Saccharomyces cerevisiae S288C: one gene and its partners. The protein of the gene in region 3 purifies or fractionates together with the protein of the main gene of each other region. This does not show direct contact. Each region holds a gene or a part of one and is shown on either strand. Other genes may lie near its edges.

Evidence for each region.
Region 1: the proteins of IPP1 (region 3) and RGL1 purify together in Saccharomyces cerevisiae (affinity purification with mass spectrometry; 4 studies listed by BioGRID). This does not show direct contact.
Region 2: the proteins of IPP1 (region 3) and TUS1 purify together in Saccharomyces cerevisiae (affinity purification with mass spectrometry; 3 studies listed by BioGRID). This does not show direct contact.

Annotation. Positions count from the first base shown.
Region 1 is NC_001148.4:424,731-428,172, forward strand, and holds RGL1 (Rgl1p), read left to right. Parts: upstream 1-1,502; coding exon 1,503-2,942; downstream 2,943-3,442. Other genes in the region: YPL068C (uncharacterized protein), read right to left, coding at 1-366; HTC1 (Htc1p), read right to left, coding at 521-1,117; ESCRT-I subunit protein VPS28, read left to right, coding at 3,197-3,442. UniProt on the Saccharomyces cerevisiae protein: Regulator of RHO1 signaling that acts as a cofactor required for the efficient localization of the TUS1 GTP exchange factor (GEF) for RHO1 to the bud neck during all phases of cytokinesis.
Region 2 is NC_001144.5:980,887-987,321, reverse strand, and holds TUS1 (Rho family guanine nucleotide exchange factor TUS1), read right to left. Parts: upstream 4,429-6,435; coding exon 505-4,428; downstream 1-504. Other genes in the region: TDA5 (Tda5p), read right to left, coding at 1-109, 181-260. UniProt on the Saccharomyces cerevisiae protein: Guanine nucleotide-exchange factor (GEF) for RHO1 that stimulates the exchange of RHO1 GDP-bound form into GTP-bound form. Required for signaling of cell wall defects to RHO1.
Region 3 is NC_001134.8:256,612-259,683, forward strand, and holds IPP1 (inorganic diphosphatase IPP1), read right to left. Parts: upstream 1,365-3,072; coding exon 501-1,364; downstream 1-500. Other genes in the region: HHT1 (histone H3), read left to right, coding at 1-130.

The DNA of each region.
Region 1 (3,442 bases), on a different chromosome or scaffold from region 3:
CAAGCCGGCGAGAGTCGGCTTATGTATATCTTTATAAAATAATCTTTGTTGTCTTTTGATGAGATTGGACAAATTTTTCTGAACTTCCAATACAGAGATCTTTTCGGGATCATCATCAGGTGAAGATAGGCTGGCGCTATTGTGGAATTTAGGGCGCTGCAGAGGCTTAGGTATTATTATATTTGAGGTGCCCAGTGTTGTGGTTGTGGCTCGAATAGCTGGACTAACCATGTTTTGTGCGACTACTTTACGCTTCTTAGGGACAATAATGGATGGTACCGCTGCCGTTGTGGTTGAAGGAGGATCGGACGTCTGATTTCTCCCTGAATAGTCAACCCTTTTTCTTTTCCTGAGTTGCATATGCATATTATATTGTATGTGCTTGTGTAGGTAGAAGCGTCTTTTATTTATCTACTGTCTCATCAGCTCATCGCATCATTAATACCAGTATCGGTTATAGTACATAATTAACAAATGTATGTAGCATTTTGGCATGCTGAAAAAAAAAAAAAAAACTTTATCAGGCAAGTGGCTCGAAACCGTGTGAAAGGATATCATCAACGGTCGTTTTTACCTGTTCCGCGGAATAGCGTTCCCGTGGGAAGAAAAGCAGCACGTGAGCGTGGAAAATCCGGGCAACACTTTGTAGTTCCGGGTAGTTGACAAACCAGGCCACGTGACCCGAGCTTAGAAGTGGACGCAGTAGCGGCTGTGCCTGCAAAAATGCATTCATGCGAGCGCGGGCCGCTTCGCGCACGGCCTTATCTGGGGAATGTACTGGCAGGGCAACCTTGGACCAGAGAACAAGGTGTACAACACCAGGCTCGAAGTTATACGGGAAATCGTTGGCACGCACAGCATATAGAGTAGAAGAACTAAAAGCCTTCGCGGCAGCATTTTCGAGCTGCGGTTCGTCTAGCGACCAGCCTAGTTTTTGCAAAACGTACTGGTTCATGTCCAGGCCAGCAGTCCTTTTCTTATGCTCGTGGTATTTGTCAGTCATCTGGCGACTTCGTTTCAAACGGGCAAGCTCCCCCGATTCAATTATCTCTTTGATTTGTTCCCACTTCCACCCTTGGGCCTCCTCCTGGTGATCGTTGACGATATCTTGTTGCATTGTAAACCTAAGCTGTTATAAGTAAATCAAGTGCAATACAAATATATACAGCATGCTGGCGTCCTTAGCCTCACGCCTACTAAACAAGAGCATCTTACTCTCACCATCCATTTATATACATATATAAGTACGTAAAAATAGATGTGTATAAGTCGTTCTATCTATAACGCGCCCCGAAGTTGTTTAGTATAACAAAAACGGAAAAAAAAAGAAGGAAAATGGAGATTGCCAAAAGCGCGCTAGTTTGACAGAAAGAGTGAAATATTAGTTCAATATTTCAGCTGTCACGGTCATCACTGCTCCGACACTTTTTTGTGGGATGCTTTCTGTTCACCTTGGTTTTCTATGGGTATATAACAGCTGATAAAGAATCGAAGAAGTGAAAATGACGCACCCAGTTATATCACTAAAGCCAAGCTACAATTCTGTAATACGGGGCTGCCCCGGTTTACCTGATACGTTACCACGAATCGAATGCCAGTTAAGAGTGCGCTCAAACAACTCTTTGCCATTCAAATTGGTAAAGATCGAAATTGTTTTAAAGACAATTGAAATATATTTCAACAAAAACCTTTATAGCAGCAATAACAGCTCTTTCACCCCATTTAATCGTCCGTCGGACCCCTCTAATGGCCATTCTGACACCAGTAACCAGAACATCAGCATTCATTATAAGAAAAACATCGTGTTATCCCACCCTACCCATGATGGCGACGATCTCAACAATGATCTTATTGGCATAGACATACCTTTGACGATTGGGCTACCTGACGACATCAAAGAAACAAACTATAATCCGAAATTCGGCAAAACGCAGACTTTCCTGGATTGTACCGTGTTTTATACAGAGGTCGGCGGAGGAAGCTCAAATAAGAAAAGAAATTTTCTTTACCCAGTAAACGTCGAAAGGTATACATACCTACCTTCACCGTCATATTTCAGGCCAATAAACAGATCAAACATCACTTCTCCCGATCAAAAGTTCTTAATTAGTTATTCCATTGAGAATCCCTGTGTTTCTATGAATAATGACACGTTGAAACTCTCCATATCAATCAGGCTGAACCCATTTCCGAACAATGCCACAACTCCCTCTTCGAATGACTTTGATGTGTCCACGCCGACACTTTTCTCCACAAAGAAAAAGTTTAAGTCCAAGCTCAAATTGAAATCAATTACAACACAGATACTAGAATACTTGGAAATTCTGAAGAACCAATCAGAATTCTCATCCACGCAAACAACAAATATTTTGCAAACCTCTGTAAGACAGGTTGATCAAATCATCTCCATGAATTCAATGATTTTTCAATTCAACCTAAAAATATTCACTAAGGACAAAATTTTACAAAGCTTTAGATCTTCTGAGTCGAGTTGTCCCGAAACTAAAGTATTAATCAACAAAATCGACGACATTCCTCTGCAATATCATAGTTCGATAACTACGATAGGTCAACATTTTAATGTTTCTCACTATCTTTCAATAAGGTTCAAATTCAATAAAAGTCTGAAAAACTTCGAAATTAATCACCCCCTAATCATATCGTTTTGGTCAGTAAGTCAATTGCCGCTAATCGAGAACCTAATATTGCAAGAAAGACAAACTGCTAAATTTGCCAAGAAGTTTTATAAAAATTTTGGTCGAATCAAGAACACGAGCAACAACAATAACAGCTCGAACTGTCTAGAGTATCCCTCCTTGCCGCCAATAATTTATAATTTTAACGACCCAGAAACAAATAATAGATTTAATATATTATACTCGCAAAAGGACCCTAGTCGTACGGATCCTTCTAAATTGAGAAGAGTACCTGTCATACAATGAGGCAGTGATTGGCATGGTTCATATATTAAATCAACGCAGATACGTAGATCTATAAAGCTTTTGAATAATGCTAATGTATTATATATTTATATTCTTCTTGTCCCGCACTCTGGTCTTTTCAATTTTCTACATGAAGAGAAAAAAAGACTATAGCGTCCGGCAAAAAAAAAAAAGTTATGGTTTAACAATACAACGGCCCCATGGGTTTAAAATAAGGGCACTTTCATAAAGTCACTTATCACTCAAAAGCACCCATGCAAAAACACAATATAAAATTAAACCAAAACCAGGATATTTCCCAATTATTCCACGATGAAGTACCCTTATTCGACAACTCTATAACTTCAAAGGATAAAGAAGTCATTGAAACTTTATCTGAAATATATTCTATAGTAATCACACTAGACCACGTAGAGAAAGCCTACCTAAAAGACTCCATAGATGACACCCAATACACTAATACTGTTGACAAATTACTAAAGCAGTTCAAGGTCTACCTG
Region 2 (6,435 bases), on a different chromosome or scaffold from region 3:
CTTCCAGGCGACCTGTCCCGACCGCTTTATATAGGAATTAGCAATGAGGAATGCATTTATCAGTAGTGTATAGATTGTTAGACAAATGCTTATCGAGTCGCTTAGAGACCTAGGTTAGTTCGTCATGTTAGTATAAAAAACGCTGTTTCTAACCTCATGCCTATTTTCTACTTTACATACCATCTCAATACAAGAGCTACCAGAAGTGGATAGCGCAGCAGTGGCAGAACTACCCAACGACACAAACAGTCTATATTCATCACCAGAACTTCACCTTTTCCTCACAGCCGTATTATCACATATTAATGTATCTGTTCTACTGATTTTAAAGAGCTACTTGTTATACGGCTAAATGCACTTCCGAGGGTAACCTGTTATTCAGGATTATATGAACAGAGAGAATAATGATGTGAGTTACTGCAAATAGCATAATTACTGGACTATATTCTTGTTGGCTTATATTATTACAACGATATTTACCATTAAAAGTGTCTATATCTTATATTATTGATGATCTGCCATTGCTACAGGATTGCACGCGACTAATAATTGTCTATTAAGTATATTTGGATGACTTAACACAAGAATTGTTTTCTCTCTCCTTTCTGAACTAGCCAGCTTTATCTTCTTTCCTTTTATGATCTGGACGGGAACCAATTCGCCTAGGTTCTGCTCAACATTTTTTAAGTCGTAAATCTGTATCAAATTGTCGCCAACGAGAATCAAATGATTACCATGGAAGCTCGCGCCGGTACAACAAAAATCAAGTAAGAGAATATCCTTTCTCCAATCAGACATCTCACCGTAGCAGTTTATTTTCACTACGGCTTCATCATAAACCAAGGCAAAAAAACTAGATTGTGATATTTGAAAAAAATTGACCGGTATAGCTTTGCAAGTGGCGATATCCTTTTTTGCTTCTTCAGTGAGAGATTCTATGGAGGGGCGTTTCTTGGAGTCTGTAGCACTTTTGAACGGTAAGCTATTCAAATGTGGATGCCTCAAGTGTGCCATCATATCTTTATCATTCAAAAAAGATGGTAAGACTATTCCGTTATCCTCGAATGAATCTTGATAAAGTATGACTGTTTTCTTTGTACACACAGCAAAACTTTTCCTGAATATGGCAATATCCTCAATTTCGTTATTCAGAATGTTATTACTTGAACTTGGGAGCTTATACTCTTTGTAAAATTTGAAATATTTTACTTGGTTTGTCAATTGATCAAATTCTGGTGTTAATATAACTATCTTCCCCTTTCTTTCAAAAAATAAATGTTTTGAGTTACCAAAATCATCAGCAATTTTGAAGAATCTCACCTTATCTCTGATTACTGTTCCCACAATGCAGTTTTCATCTAGAGTGTTTCCTTGCGCTAGGTAACGGCTCACTACCGTTGAGATATTAAAATAGCACAACTTTCTGTTATCCAATACAAACAAGAGCCCCAACTTAACATTGGCTTCCATTCTTTTGACGTCGTTTAATTCTAATATTTTAACGAAACCACTACCATAATCGTCTCTATATTTCACATAGATACCGTCTGTTGTAGCCACAAATAGGTAAATTCTGCCCTCGAATTTAACATCTTCACAACAAAGAATCCGTGTTGTCTTACTCCATGAACATGAATCTTTGTTTGCTTTTTGAGCGTAAGCTTTGAGTGCTACATCAATTTCTGATCCTTCCGGAGCTACAGGTAGATTCACCGGTGCATCCTTGTCGAAGTATGCGAACTCAGAGCTCAACACTGTAAATTCAAAGGCATTTAAATCATGATTTTCTGCATTTCTTTTAAAAGATTCCATGATAGCATCAATCCATTGGTTGAGTACTTCTGCACTTTCTGTAAAAAATTTGAACGATTCACCTGTGGCTGTATTTCTGATCTTAAATGAGAACTCGTCTGTGTTTGGATTCGCGTTAGAAATTTCAGTATTACTAGTCTTTCTATCTCCATACGCTGTTGACATGTGATTTCCAGAACTTTTAAGCAGAGGTCTCATGGAGTTAATCGGTGTCGAAAAATTATGCATTGGGGATTTATGTTCTTTCTGAGAGTAGTTTCTCAGAGGCTGTTTACTTGTTCCTGGAATTTTCCTTTTCTCGAGACTTAAATAATCTATTGGGATAGGTCTTTCAATAAGCTTATATTTTTGAGTTTCTCCTTTACTTATTTCCTCTGTAATCAGTAAGCAATTGTCCAATAATGCGATATACACTGGGGTTGGGTCCAGCCATAAATCCCTCTTTTTATAAACAGTGCCAGATAGTACTAACTTCCTTTCCGGATAAGTTAAACCAAGAGCTAGTTTATCCTGAATTGCATCATCGTCATTTGCGTTAGTACTACCACCGACGTTCACATAGCTTGTTGCATTACTACTATTAGTACTTAATACTAATTGTTTCGAAAACCTTACTAGTTTCCTATGGTCAATTGCTAATCCATGTACCTGATTAACTTCAAAGTTCAACTTTTCTACTTCCTTAATTACTATTTTCAGGTATTCATAATCCTCCATGGAAGGATCCGTGTTCTTCAAAATTGAGCGCAGAGTTACGGGCATGTTTTGTAAAGATTTGAAAAACCCCCCAAAGAATATAACATCATGATACATCTTCGATCTTGTAATTTCAACCGAGTTATCAATCTCCTTAAGCCATGTTACAAATTTCGTCTTGTTTTTCTTCTCCCACATTATGATTTCGTGTACCGTTGCCATAGCTTTCGCGTAATTCAAATATATATTCTTGGCTTCACCACACCATTTTGAATAGATTTTTCCAACGCCATCAATAAACTTACCTCTCGTTTTTAATTTCCAAAATATTGGCGTCAAAAGAAATTCGGTATGTAATTGTATTAGAGGTTCGAAGATATCAAATGCCAATGCCTTGAACTCAGGCTCATCTGGAAGTAGGGATTTGTCAAACCGTTTCCCATAGATTTCTACCGCGGCAGTAGCCATGTTTAAGGATCTTTCTTCTAAAATAATTAAGTCAAATATAAAGCTTTGTCTTTGTACTTCACGGGGATTAATTTCTGCTAAATCATCTGGAGTCAAGTGCCAGTATTCTGTCCAAAGTCCAACTGATTTATTTATGATTTCGGAAAGTTTTATTTCTTTTCTGAAGCCAGAGCTTTGGCCATGTGTGCAAACGTTGGAATAACAAATCAGGGAGTTTGTAGATCCATAAGTATTATCGATGAATGAATAGCACGGTAGTAGTTCGGTGAAAACACCAGTAATATCCAGCCCTCCCACAACTACGGCTACCTCTTCATCGTTAATGATATCGAATCTTACTGCTTTCTGGGAAATAAACGAAGCCATAATATTATCCACATTTGAGTCTATCGTATCTTGATCGAAATTTGTAGGCATTTGAAACTCTAAAAGTAATTGAACAATTTGGAAAAGATCGATTTTCGTGAAGACACATTCATTAAACCATTCAAAATAAACTTTCAAAATCCACTCATAAATAGCAGAAAGTTTGTAAACATTATCACATTGATAAAGCTTGTGCTCATCGATAGATTGAATTGAAAATGGTTGTGTCGGTGCAGTAATGCTTGGTGCTAATTCTAATGGCTTGGCTCCTAGTAAAGAGTTAAAACTACTTTGCCTGGCATTTGAGTTATTAAAAGTATAATCTGAGTCAGAATAAACACTTTCTAGGGCTTCTGATACTCGGCTATTCCCACTTACGTTTCTAGATGTTGATAGAGGCGGTGGTGGTTTCGTAAAAAATTCTGAGTCTTCATCATCAAAAGGAGATAGCAGAAGAGTAGTAGTGAAAGGAATTGGGGGTAAAGCTTTTTCTCTTTCATGACACCGTAGATCTGATTCATCAGAGAAGTGAGCCTGCTGTTTGCTACTATCTCTTGGAGATTTAGGGGAATTTGGACTAAATCCGTTCGCAAATGGTGATTTTAAGATCCTGGAATGGTTAGATATGTATTCCATGTGATGTCGTTCCTCTGAGTTTCCTATAAAGGATAGTTTATTAGGTGATCTTTCCCGGGACTGAGAACTGGGAGATACCATGGGTGAGTCTATCCGTATTGATTCAGTGGAATACAAAAGGGGTGGCGGTGGTGGTGGTCGTCTTTCTTTGACGTACTTTGTCGATTTGGGTGTGGATTCTGAAGAGCTAGTACCGTTTCCCCTTGCACTATGTTTTGATGTAAAGGTAAAAGCCTGAGGGACCGGGCTTTGGAATTGCTGGGTGTCACTGATTGGTGTCCAGCCAATTGAGATATTATCTGTTCCGTTATCAGAATCATCCAAAAAGGAGTTCCTCGTATTCAATGGTGGCAGTTTGGGCAATTCGATGCTCTTTCGTTGGCTTTCTTGACGGCTTACTCGTTTTTCTGGTGTTCGTTCAAAAGGGGAACTTCTATTATATCGATACATGTTAACTTGCTGCACTCAATAAGTTTTTTGTTTTAATGTTTATATTCGAAGTAGTATCAATTAATTGTTCATAACAGTGGCTGGAGGGGGTATACAGAACCACTAAAACCTCCAGAAATAATAGTTGAATAAAATATTGATGCAAGAAATGGATTTTGAACAGTTATATTGCGTACTGATCATCCTCTCTAGGGGTTGTTTACCTAAACGATGTGTTAACGTTTTCTCTAAATGATTTATATTGCGGCCTATGCGACGAGTCAGTATGAACAATAGAAAATCTTAAGAAGCCGTAAGCTAAAAACATCAAATGATTATAGCGCACCAACTGCTCGACTGGAAGCAGCGAAATTACGTATGTATGACCGAAGCTCAGTTAATTTTCTCTTAAGTAAAGACACAACCTTTAAATGTTGACTAACTGTGTTTGAGTAGGGGAAAAGTCCCCAAAAGTTGACGCATTTCCTTTGCATGACTGGTTTTGGAAAAGATTTCGACCTAACTCCCCAAAAAATTACTGTGAACACCTATCTGTGTAAATTTACGGTTGTTTTAGTCAAAATAGCTGTTATAACGTTTATCATAGTCCACTAAAACAGTATTTGGACACCGAACAAACTGTTTTCGATTAGGAGATTAATCGCATCTATTAAATAGCTTGATGTTTTTATTATACAATCTTCAACATTAGTTGTGATATGGAAGTTTAAAATACTGGCTAGAGACACTCGTTAGGGTTAAGGTAAATCGATAGCGGTAGTACATTATGGCATACATACCAAGATCGGGTAAAGCCGTTCCATAGTTAGATGCCTACTACTAAATGACGGTCTGAAATGGGAATTATATACGATAAATATCACAAATTGAGGAGATGGAATATAAGGATTAGCTGCTAATTATATGACAGGTTTATTGCGACGTTACTATATTACAACAGATGGCGGTTTTAGGGTAGTACCGCTTGCTTAATCGAATCAGATCAAATCAGAAGAAAAAGCAGGATCAGGCTTGAAGTACACGCTCAATGAACAAAAGCGAAAATAACCTTTTGTTTAGAGGTGCTTGTCATATCGAAATACTATATTAACTTTAAAATATTCCGCGCTACGTTGGGTGAATTAGAACTGACCAGGAGCATTTCCCTAATAAACTAAATTAGCGTGGCCACACTTTCAATCTTCGTGTGAACCTGTTGGAATAAAAATCAACTATCATCTACTAACTAGTATTTACGTTACTAGTATATTATCATATACGGTGTTAGAAGATGACGCAAATGATGAGAAATAGTCATCTAAATTAGTGGAAGCTGAAACGCAAGGATTGATAATGTAATAGGATCAATGAATATTAACATATAAAACGATGATAATAATATTTATAGAATTGTGTAGAATTGCAGATTCCCTTTTATGGATTCCTAAATCCTTGAGGAGAACTTCTAGTATATCTACATACCTAATATTATAGCCTTAATCACAATGGAATCCCAACAATTACATCAAAATCCACATTCTCTACATGGTAGCGCCTATGCTTCGGTTACTTCTAAGGAAGTCCCATCAAATCAAGATCCGTTAGCCGTTTCAGCTTCCAATTTACCGGAATTTGATAGAGATTCCACTAAGGTTAATTCTCAAGAAGAGACAACACCTGGGACATCAGCTGTTCCAGAGAACCATCATCATGTCTCTCCTCAACCTGCTTCAGTACCACCTCCACAGAATGGACAGTACCAACAGCACGGCATGATGACCCCAAACAAAGCTATGGCTTCTAACTGGGCACATTACCAACAACCATCTATGATGACGTGTTCACATTATCAAACGTCACCTGCGTATTATCAACCGGACCCACACTATCCGCTGCCACAGTATATCCCACCGCTGAGTACTTCCTCACCTGATCCAATCGATTCACAGGATCAACACTCTGAAGTACCTCAAGCTAAGACAAAGGTGAGAAATAATGTCTTACCACCACACACTTTAACATCAGAAG
Region 3 (3,072 bases):
AGAATCTGTCGAAGCCTACTTAGTCTCTTTATTTGAAGATACCAACTTGGCTGCCATTCACGCCAAGCGTGTCACTATCCAAAAGAAGGATATCAAGTTGGCTAGAAGATTAAGAGGTGAAAGATCATAGTTTGTTGATTGTCATCAGTTTTAGTAAAAAACGAACAAAAACACAATAAAATATAAATCAATATATTTAGGTTTACTGGGTTCTTTAACAGTTGTATAATAGTTATTTTTTATTACAAAAATATAGGTTTTAATAAAAAAAAATAGGGTTCTATTTGTTTTACATTTATTGATTTGTTTTTCCTGGCGATACCCTCGAAAAAAGCCAGGCCTTGTAGGAGGCAAGATTTATGGCTTTCCATGTGGTTAAAGAAAAATTGCAGCAGGAAGATATTCATTCATGAGTCAGTTATATAATCGATATATAGCTACATATTAAACAACTTGAAGCCGCATACGTGGTAGGTGTCTCATTTTCAATTCAAAATATTTTAAACAGAACCGGAGATGAAGAACCACTTGTCAATAGACTTGTCAATTGGAGCATCTGCCTTTGGAGAAGCTGGTGGGATGGCATCAGAGGCAGCCTTGGAGTAGGTTGGGGTGTCAGGCAAAGTAACATTGGTCAAATCAATACCCTTGCTGTCAGAAGACTTACCAGCAATTAATTGTTTCCAGGAGTCATGTGTTTCCTTGATGATATCCAAAGCGTACTTCTTGTTCTTAGCTTCACCGGAGAAGGCAAATTGGTTTTCTGGCTTACCATCTGGGATTTTGTAAATTCTGAACCATTCGTTAGTAGCCCTCAACAGACCTGGGAAGTATTTCTCAACATCCTCAATGTCGTTCAATTTTGGGGCTAATGGATCGTTAATATCAATGGCAATAACTTTCCAATCGGTCTCACCTTCATCCAATAAAGCCATGATACCTAGAGCCTTAACTTGCTTGACTTGACCAGTGTAAGCAATAGTTTCACCAATTTCCAACACATCAATTGGATCGTTGTCACCAACTGCCTTAGTTTCTGGGTGGCTTACGTTTGGGTCTTCCCAAGTTTGTGGGAAAGCACCATAGTTGTGAATGTAACCATGGTGAGGGAAACAGTTTCTAACAAATCTCAACTTGCCCTTCTTGGTGTCTTGGATGATTGGGTTCAAAGTTTCTTCCTTGGTGATTTCTAACTTGGCGTTGGTCCAACGTGGAATTTCAACAACCATGTTGAAAATGTTGTTTTCCTTGTCAGCGTACAAGGGAATGTCGTGGAAGGCAGAAACTGGCTTACCATCCTTTTCGATATAAACTTTGTATTCCAAGGTGTTCTTGGCACCAATTTGTCTGGTAGTGTAGGTCATTAGTAAATTGCGCGGCGGGATATCCTGTTCTATAGACCTAAGGGACAACAAATCAAAATAGATGATTAAGAAAGTAAGTATTCAAAAACAAGTTGTAAATGAACTAACCTTCCTAACTTCGACGCGACCTTAAAACGTCGAAAAAAAACGAGAAAAAGTCATCATGAGACTATCGTATCTAATGACTGTGGCTTCTCCCAACAACCTTAGCGTCTGCGATGACGATATTTTGAAGAACAGTCAAATCCGTTTGAATAGTGCGCCACACAGGGATAATAATAGCACATTGGCATCTCCTTCTGTGAATGAAACACTTCTACCTGGGCTTCAAAGTCCCGCAACCTTTTAGTTACATAAAATTCGGCGGCTAAATCATGATATTATATTGATGGGTAATGTAGCGTTCAGTAAAACGGTTCCTATGTATTACTATCACGTGGGTGGGGAAGACCACATTCTTAGAGAAGAGTAATCATTTTAGCAGATTATTTTTACCTTTTTCAACTCATGAACTCATGTTCAAAGGTACAATATATTACCCTTTCTTCAAAGTATCCGAATGATTTGAACCGCACTCTGAGGGAGCCATCAAATTCTATTGAGCGACTTCGAATCGAACAATCCAATTAAATCAGCCTTTAGCGCCATATTTCTCCTTGTATCCATTGTTTACTTCTCCCTTGTATCTTGTATATGAGAATTATGGGAATAAGATAATTGTTGGGATTCCATTGTTTTCAAAGGCTGTAATATTAGGTACACAGATTATACTAGAAGTTCTTTTCGAGGATATAGGAATCCACAAAAGGAAATCGATAGTTATACATAATAATATTATTGTATCTTACTTCCTTTTATATGTTGTCACTCATTATTGTGTCGTGCATTCCATTAGATTGGATGACTGTTTCTCAATCTTTATGCCATCCTCTTACACCGCATGTGATATAATAGTAACATGAGTGCTGCGAAATAGATGATATTAAAATTTCATTCCAACAAAGTTCCATATATATCCATATATATATATATATTTCACGAGGATAATGAGTTAAAATACTATGTAAAGGTATTGTGGTTCATTTTTCTTTTATCAATTTTTATCCAAGTTTTTCTGATCTATAACATGTCCAATACACTTTTTCGAACTATAACCGCCAACAAATTTATCTTATAGACGAGAAACACTTTTATGATATCGATGTTCTACACCTACTGCCGATAACACCGTGTTTTCACTATTATAGCATATACCATTTTTGTAACCAATGTGTTGTTGTAATTCTCCGCAAGGCATATCCCAGATATTCTTATATGGCCCATTTCCACTTCGTTGAAGCCTCACATCAAAAGAGCAATCTTGAGATAATTTCAAAACCACACACATCGCTGCAGTTTCATAATATCTGTCATCACTGATGCAATAATTAAGTGACGAAATTATATCATTATTAACAGCTGTATTATTATTATAATCAAGACAAGCTGAATTTGATGCAAATATATATTCCCATTCAGTGCCGTTTCTTTCGAATTTATAGAAATCACTTCTTTGTAGGTAATTGTTCTGGCTTACTTTGAGCTTATTCATGTTAAAGTAATTGTTGGAATAAAAATCCACTATCGTCTATCAACTAATAGTTATATTATCAATATATTATCATATACGGTGTTAAGATGATGACATAAGTTATGAGAAGCTGTCATC